Linked DNA regions of Lytechinus pictus. The protein of the gene in region 2 interacts with the protein of the main gene of each other region in a pairwise test. Links are inferred from orthologs where the notes say so. Each region holds a gene or a part of one and is shown on either strand. Other genes may lie near its edges.

Region 1 (7,506 bases), on a different chromosome or scaffold from region 2:
CTAATGTACCTTCGGAATTACGAACCTTCGGAATAAGGAACCTTCGGAATATCCGAACCTTCGGAATAACGAAGCTTCGGAATTACGAATGTATGCGTAATTTTTGAGGGGCGGTAACGGCACGCAAAGCGTGCCAACAATTAGACAGCACGCTCCCTAGGGGGAAGGGATGACTTTTTGATATCTCATCACATTTAAATCAAAAGACAGATATTTCTTGCGTCTATACCCTTATCAACTCGAACTCAATTGACTTGCTGTGATTATAAAAACTTGTTTTCGAAAGAAATATGAGCTCCCCAAAATGGGAAAAGATTGAGGAATTTGAAATAATTCCTCTTACCGCGCGAAACGCGGAAGATAAAACCTTTTATAAAAATTGAGAACAGAAGTGGTATGAAATTCCCAGCTTGGTCACATCAGATCTGATTGCAAAAACTTTAGCCAAATTAAATTTCTTTAACTCGCAAAACAGAGTAGAAGACAGGAATATATGCAGGGATGAAATATTCCTTCCCGCGAATATGGCGTTCAAGCTCAAGTAGTAGTAGGTCCATGATGATATTAATCTAGAAGCAGCCACCCTTATTAAACAAAATCTTACTTCCCATATAACTCTGGTGGATGAGACAGCCATTAATGAAGCAATGATTTCTATTAATAATTAGATTCAGCCAAAATTACGAAATGCTATACCCATCTACTAATAATAAGCCCAGAAAAACAAAGCAGTTTTTATGAAACCATGGTACAACCACAGCTGCTATAGATTGAGAAACAGGTATCGAAATGTAAACAAAAATCCTTTAAAAAAAACAGACTGACTACAATAGGCAAAACATGATTCAATGTGGGAAAAGGTATAAAATTATAAGTATCTCAATAACAAACTATACGAACTTTGAGACCTACTAAACCGAGGGATTTTTGGAAAATTCTCCAAAGCAATAGTGTAAATAAAAATATAAAGATAGAGGCTAATTTTGCTGATCTATAGTTGACCACTTTGAGGATTTAAATCAATCTTACGATAACTTCCCCTCTCCTACAATCCAACATTTTGATAATCCGGCCATCAATGATGAATTTACTCTAAAAAATGAAAAGGATCAAAGATTATAATAGATGGAACTATAAATGAGTTCTTAACAGATACTTCGGCGGTTATTATTCCAATCCTTACTAGGTTATTCAACATTGTAATCAATAGTGGTAAAGTTCCTGATGTTTGGGGTATTGGTGTTATAACTCCTATCTTTAAAAAATAATGGTCCTGTTAAAAATACTGGAAAATTATCGAGGGGTCTCGATCCTTAGCTGCATTGGCAAACTGTTTACTTTACTTCTAAATGAGAGATTAACAAAATATATTGACGTTGGTATCTTAGGGGAGAATCAAGCAGGATTCATGCACAAATACTCAACCATTGACCATATATTCTGTTTAAAATGCATTGTTGATATTTATACAAGATTCCTAAATAAGAAACTTTTTGGTGTTTTTATTGACTAGTAATGACATTAATGGTAAAATTCTTTCTGATGTTTCGAAAGTATCCAAGTGGTTTATATCTGAAATATTCCCCATACAGGTGATAATTTGTCGTCTCTCCTCTTCTTTCTTTATCTAAAGGATCTTGAAACTGAGCTTAGTAGAAAATATAAAGGCACCTCGAACCTCTCGGACCTGATTGAGAATAAAATAGTTCATACTGTTATTCAAGGAGACTGTATAAGTTCTTCAAAAATTAATGTCAAAATTGTAAATCCGAGTATAGGCGGATTGGAAATAAAAAACACAGCACAGAGTACAGCTTTGTCGCAAAGCTGAAACAGGAGAAATACTAATTTTGAACATTAAAATCTATCCAATATTTTTATTCACGAAATGAATTCACAGCGAAAGGCTGAACTACATGAATGTGTACAGAGTAAAAAATCAGTAGGCCTAGGCCTAAACAAACAAGTAATACAAATGCCTAATATCCATTAAGTTAGGCATGGATATACAGAGAAGGTAAATTAAAGGGAATAAATTGAAAGAGGGAACATGTCTTTCGTCCAAAGGATATCTTAATAAAACATTAATTCGGGATTTGATAAGTTTGTTAACAAAGTAAGGAAATGTTGAATTTGTCCGAAAAGTGGCATTTTTTTTATTAGACAAAGCTTTCATTTCCCAATCTTTAAAAAGTAATATCACTGTATTCGGAGGAGAATTCATGAGTTAAAAGCACACTGTTAAGTGTTTTACTGCAGTCGTCAATTTAAAGAGAGTAGGTACATATCAATTATTTAACATGTTTAAAGTATAGATACAGAACCCAAATAGAAATTGGTGTATAGTTCTACAGTTAGGGTGAAGCCACAACAACCTTAAAAACAGTCAAAACGTTCCTCATAAATAATAGCAAGTGGAAAATGTAATGCAAATGAGTCAAGCATTGTCATGTGGGGCTAGTCTTGTTAAATGTTAAATGAAGTATTAAAATCCTTGCACCAGTCAAGTGCATAAGCTTTGATGAAGAAAAAACAATGCTGCAATTGTATGTGTTACAATTGTCCCACAGGCATGTTACAATAACCCCATGTTGTGGGGCAATTGTAACACTTGACCTCTTATTTTCAAATGATAGTAGCTTCTAAATTAAAGGGGAATCCAACCCAAATAAAAACTTGTTTTTATGAGAAAAAGAAAAATCAGACAAGTTGATAAGTGAAAGTTTGAACGGTATTGGACAAACAACAAGAAAGTTATGAATTTTTAAAAGTTGTAGATATTGGTAATCACTATACTCATGGCGACTTCAAATTGGCCGCATATGGGATGTCATAGTGATGTAAGGCAAGGACTACTCTTCCATGTGCTCCAATACATATTATGGCTAAAATGTCATTTTTCCCCAAAGTTTTATTTCAAATTATATTTTTCTTTCATGAGGACATTAAACAAAATACTACCTGGGTTATATTTAGATTACTGCCCCAGGGGAATGGGTACTTAGGAGAAAACCACAAATCCCTGATAATAAAGTACATGGCCTATGGAAAAGTTGTCCTTGCCCCTTGTCATAATTTACTTACCCAGTTGCCAATTTGAAATCTACATACTATTAGTGATCTCAATTTTAAAGCAGCTATAACTTTCTTATTGCTTGTCCGATTTCTTTCAAACTTTCACCATCCTGTTTAATTTATTTTTCTCCTTCCCAACACAATATTTTATGGCAAAGGTTGGATTCCCCTTTAATTGTTTAACTTAATCCAAACCTATTCGTGGTGTCAAGCCAAGATATGCATCTTCGTTTTATTTAGGTTTTTTAGCAGGCATTTAGCTTTAATAAGGTGTATGTGTGGGAGTATATATATATATATATATATAATATATATATATATATATATATATATATATATATATATATATATATATATAACGCGCTTTTGGGTAAAAGATCATTAATGACGTAAGTTACGTAATAATAAAAGAGTATGATTTAAGTTTCGTAACTCTTATTATTACGAAATCTTTTTATTGTTACGAAACTGAAATCTCACTATATATATATATATATATATATAAATACATATGTTTTGTTTATTTCTTTATTTTATCTTATCTTTTATTCATAAAATGTAAAGGAGGCCTTCACCCTACAAGCTCTGCTTTTTAATTGGTCTCCTTCCCTTTCGATTTCATGGTATTATTGTATTATAAAAAATGATTTAGATGTTATATTTTGTAAATATGTATATTGAACTATCAGTGTAAATGTAAAAAGACTGAAAGAGAAAATAAATGAATTGAATTGAATTTAGTAAATTTTGTTACAATTGTCCCCGCGGTCCCTTTACAAAATGAAGGTCATTTTGGTACCGATATTTGTTTTATAAGCCAAAAGGGGGGGGGGGTCACGGTAAATTGAAGGTAATCCTGGGTTGGCTCCAAAATGTAGGTCGTTATTTTTTTTTTACTTGGCAGCCCCAGGGGGGGGGGGTTAAACCGTTGATCCGCCTCTGCCAGCTAGAGTTTTTCTTCTTCTTTGGGTGTACTGCCCAACGCCCCGGGAGCCACTTCAACCGCGCGGGAGTTGTGAGAAGTTTCATGGTTTCCTCAGGAAACGAGATATTTCAAGTTTGCTCAAAATTTCTTTATAAAGTTAGATCATTTTTGTTGTGACATATACATGTAAATACAAAAACTTGGAAAATTTACCGCTTCCAATAGGGGCCGGGTGCTGATGGGTTATCTTGAAAAAATATATGTTTTTTTCTTTATTCATTTTCAATCCAGATACACTTACAAATAAGCTTTCGTAAAATATTATTTACAAACGGTTCATTGAACTTTAACATGATCAGTGTAAAAATGAATGATAACATTGACGACGTTAGGCAGGCCTGAATCTCGTACCCATATACCCCCATCCACTCACTTTCCCCTTCTGCTCGACGTCATAATCTCGCTTGGAAATATACGAGATCGATATCCGGATCCGAACTCTCATCTCCAGATCGGATACCGGTTTCCGTAAACAGTATAAATTTTCTGAAATTACGATTTTCTCCTGTAATTTTGCTGTTCAAATCATAATTGTAATATGGTGAGTTGGTAAATGTTTGTCGCTATTGAATAGATGATTTGAATACGAATTTTCATTCAAATGATAGTATAATACCTATTTTTCAAGATGATTGCGTTGCTGCATTTATATACAAAAATGTGTGTTTAGTCCCATTGTATGTTATGCGTGTTTGTTGTGATAGATCTAACATAACAAGTTGATTGTATTAAGTTCGAATTCGATGTTAGTCTACTCTTGCTATCCGCTTCCTTCATAGGTTCTACGATAGGGCATAGGCCTACAAATAGATCTATACTCTATACAAGTTGTATGTTACTAAATAAAGTTAAAAGAGATCAACTAAGTGTAAAATTGCAACTGAATATCCAGAGGCAGAGCTACGTCTAATTTTAAATTTGTACAAAAAATTGTAGATTTATATTTATATGAAGTTTTTTAATTTATTTTTCATAATAAATACATCTGACGCCTTGTGCGCAAACTAACACTGGCTACGAGGTGGGCGTGGCCCACTCACACTAGTACGAGGTTAGTATATATAGCCTATATACTAACCTCGTACACCGAACCGTGTTTGACCCTTGATTTCGAAGTAGTCGGCAAACATCGCTTCATTGCTGAAGTAATATTTGCCGAAACTCCTTCTCGCTACTCACCGGGGCTCTTTCCGGTAAGTAGCAATACATTAAAAAATAAAAAATGTAATTTGAATATAATAATCGGTCAAAAAGAGCAAATTTCGCTTACCTCGGCCTGGAAAGTAACTTCGCTTGTCTCTTCTACGGAAATACAAGGAGGCCCGTTGGTGGCGCTAATAAATTTCACAACCTTGATTCAGCTCCTCTGTAATTTTATAACTGTGTCTAAATCCTTTGAATGCGCAATTCTTATGATTAATTTACTAATTATGGGCACCAATAAATGAAATACCTTCAAACATGTCAAAAACATAATTCAAGATTATTATTGGCGATGATAACACTTTTCTGCAATTAATTTAAAACGATGACTAATAAAGAAAGATTGAAAAAAATATACGTGCCTGGAACAAAACCAGCAGTACAGGCTTTAACGAACATCAATAATACGGTATACCAAAGTCTTTACAATGAAAAGATTGGACACTTCACGGACTTTGCGTAATGACCTGCGTCAATTTGCGTGTAAAATAGTGTAGGTGCCTAGTCTTTCCCTTGTCGTGTCTTTGATATGAATATAAATCGCGCGCCCTCTTTAGACGAAAATTGATATCGGCGCTGACCAAATTTTATCTCCGTGAAATCTTCACTAAAGATCAAGAAAATATACATATTTTTTAGAAGAAACTTCAAGGAGAAGTCACGGAAAGATCTAAATGATTGGGTAAGTGTCATAGCAGAATGTGAAATCCCTAATTATGTGTGATGTTTTATGTGAGCGAAAGCCCAGTAGTATATTGATGTGTCGTGTGTGTCGCGTTATTATGAATGATATTCCTTCGCACGCGAGATGATATGAGCCCATGGGTGGGCGTGGCCTAGCATTTGACTGGGCTCGAGCGGCAAATTTGAATTCGAATAATAATGAGCAAAAGGTCACGCACGATCCTTGAACTTTCGACGTTTAAAAATGATCAACGACCACAATCAGCGACAATTAGCTACGGGAGAGTTACAGGGATTAAGCGGCTTATCGTTTCCTGACAAAGGCCATAGTTTGACACTTAATAATAATATCTTCACTTTTAGGAAACCTTTGGAACTGGGAGTTGGTATGTTTGTTTTGGTTTGGTTTTCTCTTTCTATTCATTGTTTATTTAAATGTAAAGACGTTCAAATAAAAATTCTAGGATTTTATTTTGTCCACCCTACTACCAAGTCTCACGCATTGTGCGTGAGACTCACGCATCCAGGGTCCGTCTCACGATCTCACGCATGGCGCCCATTTTTCTCACGCATCGGGACCCGACAGAAAAAAAAGAGAAAAAGTAGCATTATTCGTTAGATTATGCGCACTGGCCGACCGCCTTCGCACGCCGTCGCGTCTACCCCGACACGCGAGACGAATCGAGAGTGCAGTCAGCGCACAGCTAGTACGTGATACGAGGAATCGTGTGCGTGCATCGCGTGGTTTTGTAGTATGGATCAATATCATGATGAAGCCCATATCTCGCGCGCGCCTTTTCGAAACGTACAAGTGTAAGTACTGGCCGCGCGCGTGCAGAGACGCCGAGTCATGAAAATCTCACGCATAACATTTTTTTGAACTTGGCATCTCTGAATATCTGTGATTGATTGCAAATATTTTCTTGCAACGCCACCTAAGTCATTAAGTGACCTAATTCCTGACCTAAGTTCAAGTTCAATCTTCTCTCTCTCTCTCTGAGTCTCTCTCTCCTGTTTAATTGTATAATTAAACGCATTAATATAATTTATAACTTGTTAGGTCCATGTAGGTCAGGTCAGGACTTGTTAATATCAGCTGAATTGCCGGCCTTCATGATATTCTTTCATTTCAATAATAAGACATGTGATTGTGAAGAATCATTGTTTCAGCGATTTTCAAAAAAATTGATGCAAAAAATGTATTGGGTGAAAGTGTGAGACTTTTAATGCAACTCGCTGGTTTCGTCTTCTTTTTAGTGCAATATTTCCTCTGACAAAAATTTCCAGTGGTGGACTGTCGTGTACACTTTTTTAGATAACATTGGTCAAACTAAGATGATGAATCACCACCCCTCATACTTGTATGGCTTCATTTCAAATATGAAATTATTTTATTGATTAGAGGGTCGTGGGTTCGAATCCCAGCTATGGCGTAATTTCCTTCGGCAAGAAACTGATCCATAATGTGCTGCACTCAATCCAGGTGAGGTAAATGGGTACCGGTAGGAAGTAATTCCTTAAAAAGCTGTGTGCGCTATGAACGCCTAGCTTAGCCGGGT
Region 2 (7,387 bases):
ATTTGACGCCGGTCAGCTTGTCCATGAGTAGATAGCCGGTGGTCAAGCCGGCGGGCGTGGTGGCGGTGGTGTGCTGGTTTGACGAGAGTAAGGAGATATGTTGGTGGTCCTCGGTCTCCGGAGAAACGGGAAGCATGTCATCGAGGCCTTCGGGATCGTAGTTGCTGTCCAAATCATCTGAAAGATTCATAGAGGAAGACAATAAATATACACTGAAGTATTGACCCTAAATGACCTTTGACCTTGGTCATGTGACATGAAACTCAGGCAGGATGTTCAGTAATACTTGATTAACCTTATGGCCAAGTTTCATGAACTAGGTCCATATACTTTCTAAGTTATGATGTCATTTCAAAAACTTAGCCTTCGGTTAAGATTTGGTGTTGACGCCGCCGCCGCCGTCGGAAAAGCGGCGCCTATAGTCTCACTCTGCTTTGCAGGTGAGACAAAAATTAGCTAATGCATTGAAATTCTACTGTTACAGATTCATGCCCCCATTGGCTATCCATAGTTAAAGCGCAACTTGAAACCAGAGTTTAAATTAAACCGGACATCAGAATACGGGCCATAGAATAAATCAAATTTCTTCCCACCTTCTTGCTTAATCTCCTTCATCATGGGCGAATTGGGTTCACTCATCATAGAGTAGCTATGCTCGTCGGTGATGTGGGGCGGCGACGGATCAATGGATTCTCCCGACACCATCTTGTCGGAGGAGAGCAGCGGGTCATCGTCAAACAGGTAATCATACTCGTAGTAGCTGGAGGAAGATAAGCCATCAAGGTGGTCGGTCATCGGCTGTAGGTCAAAGGTCAAGAAGAGATTTTACGGTTAGATTTTCAACAGCAAGGAATACGATGTTTAAAAAAAATCTTGGATCTTGTCATAATGTTATGATGTTGTCAAATCATAATGTTGAGTAGCAATACTTATTACTAGTATTTGGATAGAAGAATAATTGCAAACATTAAACACAAATAAATACTTTTAGAATTATGTATATTGACATGCATTACTTAAATAAAACTCATTAAATAGAATACAACAAATTGCTTTAATTCCTACAATGCCTATTAGCACAGACAGTATCTCTCGATCCTTTTGTCTTGATCCATCCGACAAAAACCCCACTCAAACACTTTCATCAAAGCAAATACTTAGTCTTTCCAAATCATCCTCACAATCTAAACCATGTCTTTTCGTTCACCTTCATTCATATAAACACTGCAACATGTGATCTATTAAACAAATGAGGTCAATTTGCGATCATATGATCACAAGAAATGTCCTTCCGTTATCATTCATGAAGACATGACCTTCAATGAGCTGTGTGACTTTCAGAGCTCAGTGATACTAAGCACACTCGCATGTGTATATAAAAGAATTGTGATACGTCAGTGATGACAAATAGAAAACACAGTCCCAATTTCATATTATTCAGACTATACATTAATGCATGGTACTTTACGAGCAATGTTCAATGATGGTGGTGGAAGTGTTTTTGTTTTCCTTCAATTTTCAATGTACATTGTTATCATGCCAATATTTTTACAATATTTATCTGGTTATGGAATTTTCATTCATTTATGACCATCAGGTTGAAATGAAAAGGGGGAGGGTTTTACTATGTGATAATAAGTACAAGTTCAAATACAAGTTACAACCCATCAAAACATGCCAATAGCATTTATCACTTTAGAAAGGTTGTGACCGTGTTGTTAAACTACTAGTATGCCCCCCCCCCACCTAAAATAGTCAAAAGTACAAAGTCAGATCCCAAGTTCAAATCCAAAACAATGACAAAAGAAAATTATCAATGATCTTATCAGATACTGTCAACAAGAACATGGTCTTTAAAAACCAATAGTAACTGATACAGCGTAGTTCTATCAAATTAATCTCACAATGCGATGTTACAAATTATACACTGGGAATGGAATGCTGTTTTGTGTGATAAGAGAAAGGCAATGGAACGGAGTACATTGTCATGTCCAAAGGTCAGATCCTTGATCATTCAAAATAATTCAAAGAATTACGATCAAGTTTCAAACCAGAGAGAATGGGTGGTTTGCTGATAATCAGACCAAGGTATTAGTCTAACTATTCCCTGATAAATCTAGGTTGCACCCCAACAATATAGACCTACATGTAACTTGTAGAGAATGCTCATGTCAATTTTACTTTTTCAATTTTCAGGACAACCAAAATTCAAGGACATTCATTATCAAATAAACACAGTTCTTGTATAGTGCACAACGCATATACCACATTATGATATAACGTCCCTATGAATTTACACGTACAGAGGACTTGGATATCATATATTTATATCATACATGTTTTTTTTCCTTCAAATTTCAAGTCAAAAATATATTTTGAACTAGGATTAAATTGATTCATAAAATGCAGGGAATGTGACAGCTTCATAAATGTAAATGCTAATATTTTCACCATGTTTGCAGTGGTTCAGAATCTACATCCTGTCTGAAACTAAATAATAAATGACTACGGTAAAAGTCCAAATCCAATCACCTGTTATAAATTCAAGGATCATTCAATATAGCAAACCAGATGGAAGGGAAAGGTGATCACGATGTATTGATCATGGTACATAGTACAATATAAACCTCTTTGAAGGGCATAGTAATATTTTCATTATAGTATCATTCATTGCATGGGCAAGAGAAGGGGGCAGAGCTGCCAAGTTGTATTTTGCATTTTCAGTATTCTTATCCCCCAAAATCAGTATTTTGACAAAAAAAATCAGTATTTTTACCGTGTGAGATAAATATTTTCCCCAAAAAAGTGTATTTCATAATAAAATGCTTGGCACACTCGCCCATCACGGCGCTCAAGCTGCATGCAAGCTTAAATGCGCACTGCTCTTGCAGATGAAAAAAAAAAACATTGAAACTTGTGTATAACTCACCCTGGTTTTTACAAAATGATTGAAAAAAAAAAACAAGTTACCTGAAATTACATTGATCTAATAACCATATTTGTGTACGTTTTATGAAATAGAGACATATAGAGATGATTTTTCTCAATAAATGACAATTTTTGTAAAAAAAAAAAAAAAAATTTGGTTGAAAAATCGTACTAAATACGGCCAAAAACGTACTGGTTGGCAGGTCTGAGGGGGGAGCAAGTGAGGATCATGCTAGAAAAGGGTTTGAGGAGTGGCAGGAATGAGAATAAATGGGGGGGGGAGGGAGAAAGGGGGGATAGCGATTGAAGAAAGTAGGCTGCAGGCAAAGACCCTGATCGAAAATTTGATCAAGTGGGTCTTCACACAAGACTAGCATATATAGAACTTGCTGTTTCAATTCCTGAGCAAGAGGGCCTTCTGTACATACATGAAGTCATTATAGGCTGCATATTCAGACCACTTGACTTGAGTGAAAGGTTTGCACAGCAGACTAGGGAGGGAAAAGAGGGGGAGGGGAGGGAAGAGGGGAGGGAAGAGGGGGGGAAGAGGGGAGGGAAGAGGGGGGGGGGGGGAGGGAAAAGAGGGGGGAGGAGGGAAAACTGGGTAAGGAGAGAAAATGGAGGTGAGGGAAGGGGAGCGAGGGGGGAAAGGTAGGAAGGGGAGACATGGGGACGAAAGGTGATCACCACTGTGGCGACTTACTGGAGTAACCAAGCTTTGCGGCTGTTGTTTATTTATAAAACAACTGGGTTCTCTCATAAGAGAAAGGGAAATAAGATAAAAATAGAGGTAAGAAGTTAATGTACTGTCAGGGGGGAAATGGGAGGTATTTGCAGGTAACATAAAACTATATTTAAATACTACCTACTAATTATCACACTCTAAAAATTAGTATGAGGAAATAACACTGATGACTTTCAGGAAGCAAAACTATGAAATGCAGCAGATTCTACCAACTTGAAAATAATAAAATAACTGTTTTATTTTTATCCATGATGTATGAATCGCAGACTGAAGTACTGTAGCCTACAAAAGTGAATTAAATGGGGAAAACATGGAATAGCCGATATATTTGGGAAAGTAATTCAATCATTCCAAACATATTGTTTATAAAAAGAACATATGTGAATACAATCAATAGACATAGAATGCCCCTCAAACATTGGGGCCATCATTGTATTGTAATGAGAAAATCAACACATGATAACTGATAAGGTCTGTATTTATAAAAATAACTCAATTGTCTACAAATAGGCAGGCCAATAATACATATTGTAGGTGCAGTGTAATCTGATTGTACAACAGCATGTTTTGTAGAGAATTTCTCTGAAAAACATTTTGTCATCAAACATGTATGTTTAACTGTAATCCGAAAGTCCTGTAAAAGGCAATGGGAAAATATTCCAACTCACTTTTTAGGTAGGCTACCATGCTAACTACATGTAGGCCCACAATGAATTTGGGTTGTTCATTAGTTCTTTGTGGGAGAAATATACTTCAAAATATCATTTAAAGGGCAGTGAATTCCACCCACTAAGTACGGCAGATCATCAAAACCTTTTACATTGAAAAAGGATTTTAAAGGCTAATCCACATTGACACATCAAGCAAAACAAGGAGACACGTTGATCTTTGCCCATGCAACTCTTGCTCCCATGATAAAGATGCATCCATGCACCCCAATGGCACAGGAAGCGTCTAATTCTGTCCCGTAGACATCGTCTAACCAATCCCTTTGTGACATCACAGGAAATTATTGACGGTGCTCCCTCGCTTGCCCTCGCTCGGTATAGCCCACTCCCAAAGTCAACTCGATTCGAATGAGCTGTATCTAGTCTGTGTATGTTGCTGTACACTTTAGTGCTAATCACCAAGTATGCGAAAATTGGCCCTTTTAGTATCTGTCCCTTTAAGTTGAATACAATGTACTGTATACTGTACAATTAATTTCAATGTTTATTTGTTGAATAAACCATTTACTTGTTTGTTATTCATGAATAAAGATGCAATTATATGCATTGCCCACTTGTACGTAAATCAATACTCAGTGTTATCCATTTACAAATACCAAAACAAACTGATATCAAATAAATAAAACATGAAATGAAGTGTATTCAAATTGCAATTCTTTCATTGAAAACAGGATGCAATGTCCAAAGTTAGATTCATAACATATCCTGTGTATTCATTACAGAACAATATTTCACTTTAGGTAAATGTTTATGTTTAGCAGTACTTGGAATCATTTTTCTTCATGAGAAACACATGTAGTGAAAAAAAAATCACCGCTTAAAAATGCAGGAAAATGTTGAGCTTTTTATTGAAAACTTTTTTCATATCAAGGGCAAATTTATCATTAATTATTATGGATGAAACAGAGTTAATGTGTACTAAAGGACCCAATTAAAGAATAAAAGGCTGAATTGCTGATGCTATCCTGGACAAAAATAAGGAACTGGTTTATTCAAGGTTCAAGTCAATTCCTGCTTGAACATGTATTACCTGTATAGGTCAACAACCCACCCCCCCCCCAAAAAAAAAATACATGTAGAAGAGGAATCACGTCCATAAAGTAAATATATATATACCGTAAGGCTTTGATGGTGGACTTTGTTACTATCATTTTTTTTTTCAAAGTCAACCTTTGAAGATAATAAAGGATAACCTTTCAATTTGATGAACAAGATATAATTGTTTTTTGACGGAGCTCTTGAACTGAAGCCACTTAGATCTCAAGAACAACAAGGAAGGAAACCATTGTAAATGATTTGATCAAATAGTTTTAGGTATTATTTTGATAAGGGGTTATTAAATGTATGAATCTATATTTACATGATTGTGTATAAGTGCTAAGATTTGATTTAAAAAATGGATTTTATGTTTCTCTCCTTCTGGAGGTTGGTCAACAATCAAACTCTGTTTTTTCTAGAATAAACAACAATTTTGATCACTGCTTTTGGAATGCTCTAATTTCATCTTCGTTATAAATGTTGTACCATATTCACTGAAAATCATTTCAATATTACAGTATAAAGTGCATGTTTTATTCTTTCTTTTTGCTGAAAAGTTACAAAATTTTCAAACATCCTTTTTTTCTTTTGGCAGTCCATACTCTGTACTTTTATACATGTAGTGAGTTGGAATAGACACTTCACAGTGTGGTCAAGAAATCAACGCCAGGCTAACTTCATCACTGCCACGAGAATAACTCTATATCTTATTAAAATCAAATGGAGCTACTTTCTCATATATTCAATTTTTCATTCATCCACTGACAACATAATCGCATCAAACTGAAAATAATATAGTTCTGCCAATATTTTTTGTCATCGAAATCTACCGGAATGTGTAAAAAAAAATGGCAAGCACTTCAGAACCATACGATGCCAGGTGCAAGCGAATGATATATTGACATTTCTGTCGGCATTCATGATTGCAATTATACTTGTCAAATAATCAATCAACTTGAAAAACACTTTCATAGATGAACAAGTTGCACACTAACTGTTAAAGTTGTTGTCAATCCATAATTTTGAAAGACACTTCACAAAGAAAAAAAATTTGTGAAAACTGTCTATTTCTACTAACTTATCGTAGTTGGTACATGTACATGTAGTAGTATGTAGTTTTAATACTAGTGGGTGTTTCATAAAGCTGTTCGTAAGTTTAGAGCGACTTTAAGAACGACTGGTGATCCTTTCTTGTGGTAATTATGGTGTACACCAAAATGTTAATTGGCGATGGCTTAGCGCGTAAGAAAGGTTCACCAGTCATCGTTAAAGTCACTCTTAACTTCCGAACAGCTTTATGAAACACCCACCAGGTAATGCAAATGCTCGTTTCAGATATTGCAGTCATAGGGTCATGGATCCCGGGGTAGAGATCCAGGAATATTTCATGATTTCATGAATAATTATCTCCTTGTTTATCAATTTCCTAATCAGATACATGTTTTATATTCATTCATACTCCTCGTTCGGGAAATCTGTTGATACAATTATGCAGTACTCAGGTGACAGAACCATATGGTCATATTCCCAGCAGAAGTTCAACAACAAATGAATAAATCTCAATTCTAGTCTTGGTTCAACAATTTCTGGTGTTTGCAGGGAAGGCTCGCTTGTCAAAAACCCGACAAATGTTGCTCATGTCAAAAGAAACTTTCGCAAATATATAAATTACACCTATTTCTAAAAAATACACATATCTTCATAGCAAATCATATACATGTACATGTGGGCCTTCACATAGTACATAAGAAATCTCAATGGGCAAGACAAGAAATTGACACTAATTATTCATTTTACAATTTCGTATCAATCTCGATCTTCCAAATATGGATGTAAGCTTTAGAAACCAAGGTGCGAGGAGGCATTTCAAAATACATGTGTCAATTGACCACTGAAGATGATGTAATACTAATAACAGTTCAGCAAAGGCAGGCCGACAGTGGCAATA

Evidence for each region.
Region 1: the proteins of cyclic AMP-responsive element-binding protein 3-like protein 2 (region 2) and transmembrane protein 218-like interact in binary tests that used the Homo sapiens proteins (3 or more experiments, as listed by UniProt). The link is inferred for Lytechinus pictus from reciprocal best matches to the Homo sapiens genes CREB3L1 and TMEM218.

Annotation. Positions count from the first base shown.
Region 1 is NC_087252.1:19,357,429-19,364,934, reverse strand, and holds the start of transmembrane protein 218-like, read left to right. Parts: upstream 1-4,482; 5' UTR 4,483-4,601; intron 4,602-7,506. UniProt on the Homo sapiens protein: May be involved in ciliary biogenesis or function.
Region 2 is NC_087263.1:5,804,504-5,811,890, forward strand, and holds the start of cyclic AMP-responsive element-binding protein 3-like protein 2, read right to left. Parts: upstream 3,008-7,387; 5' UTR 796-3,007; coding exon 594-795; intron 178-593; coding exon 1-177.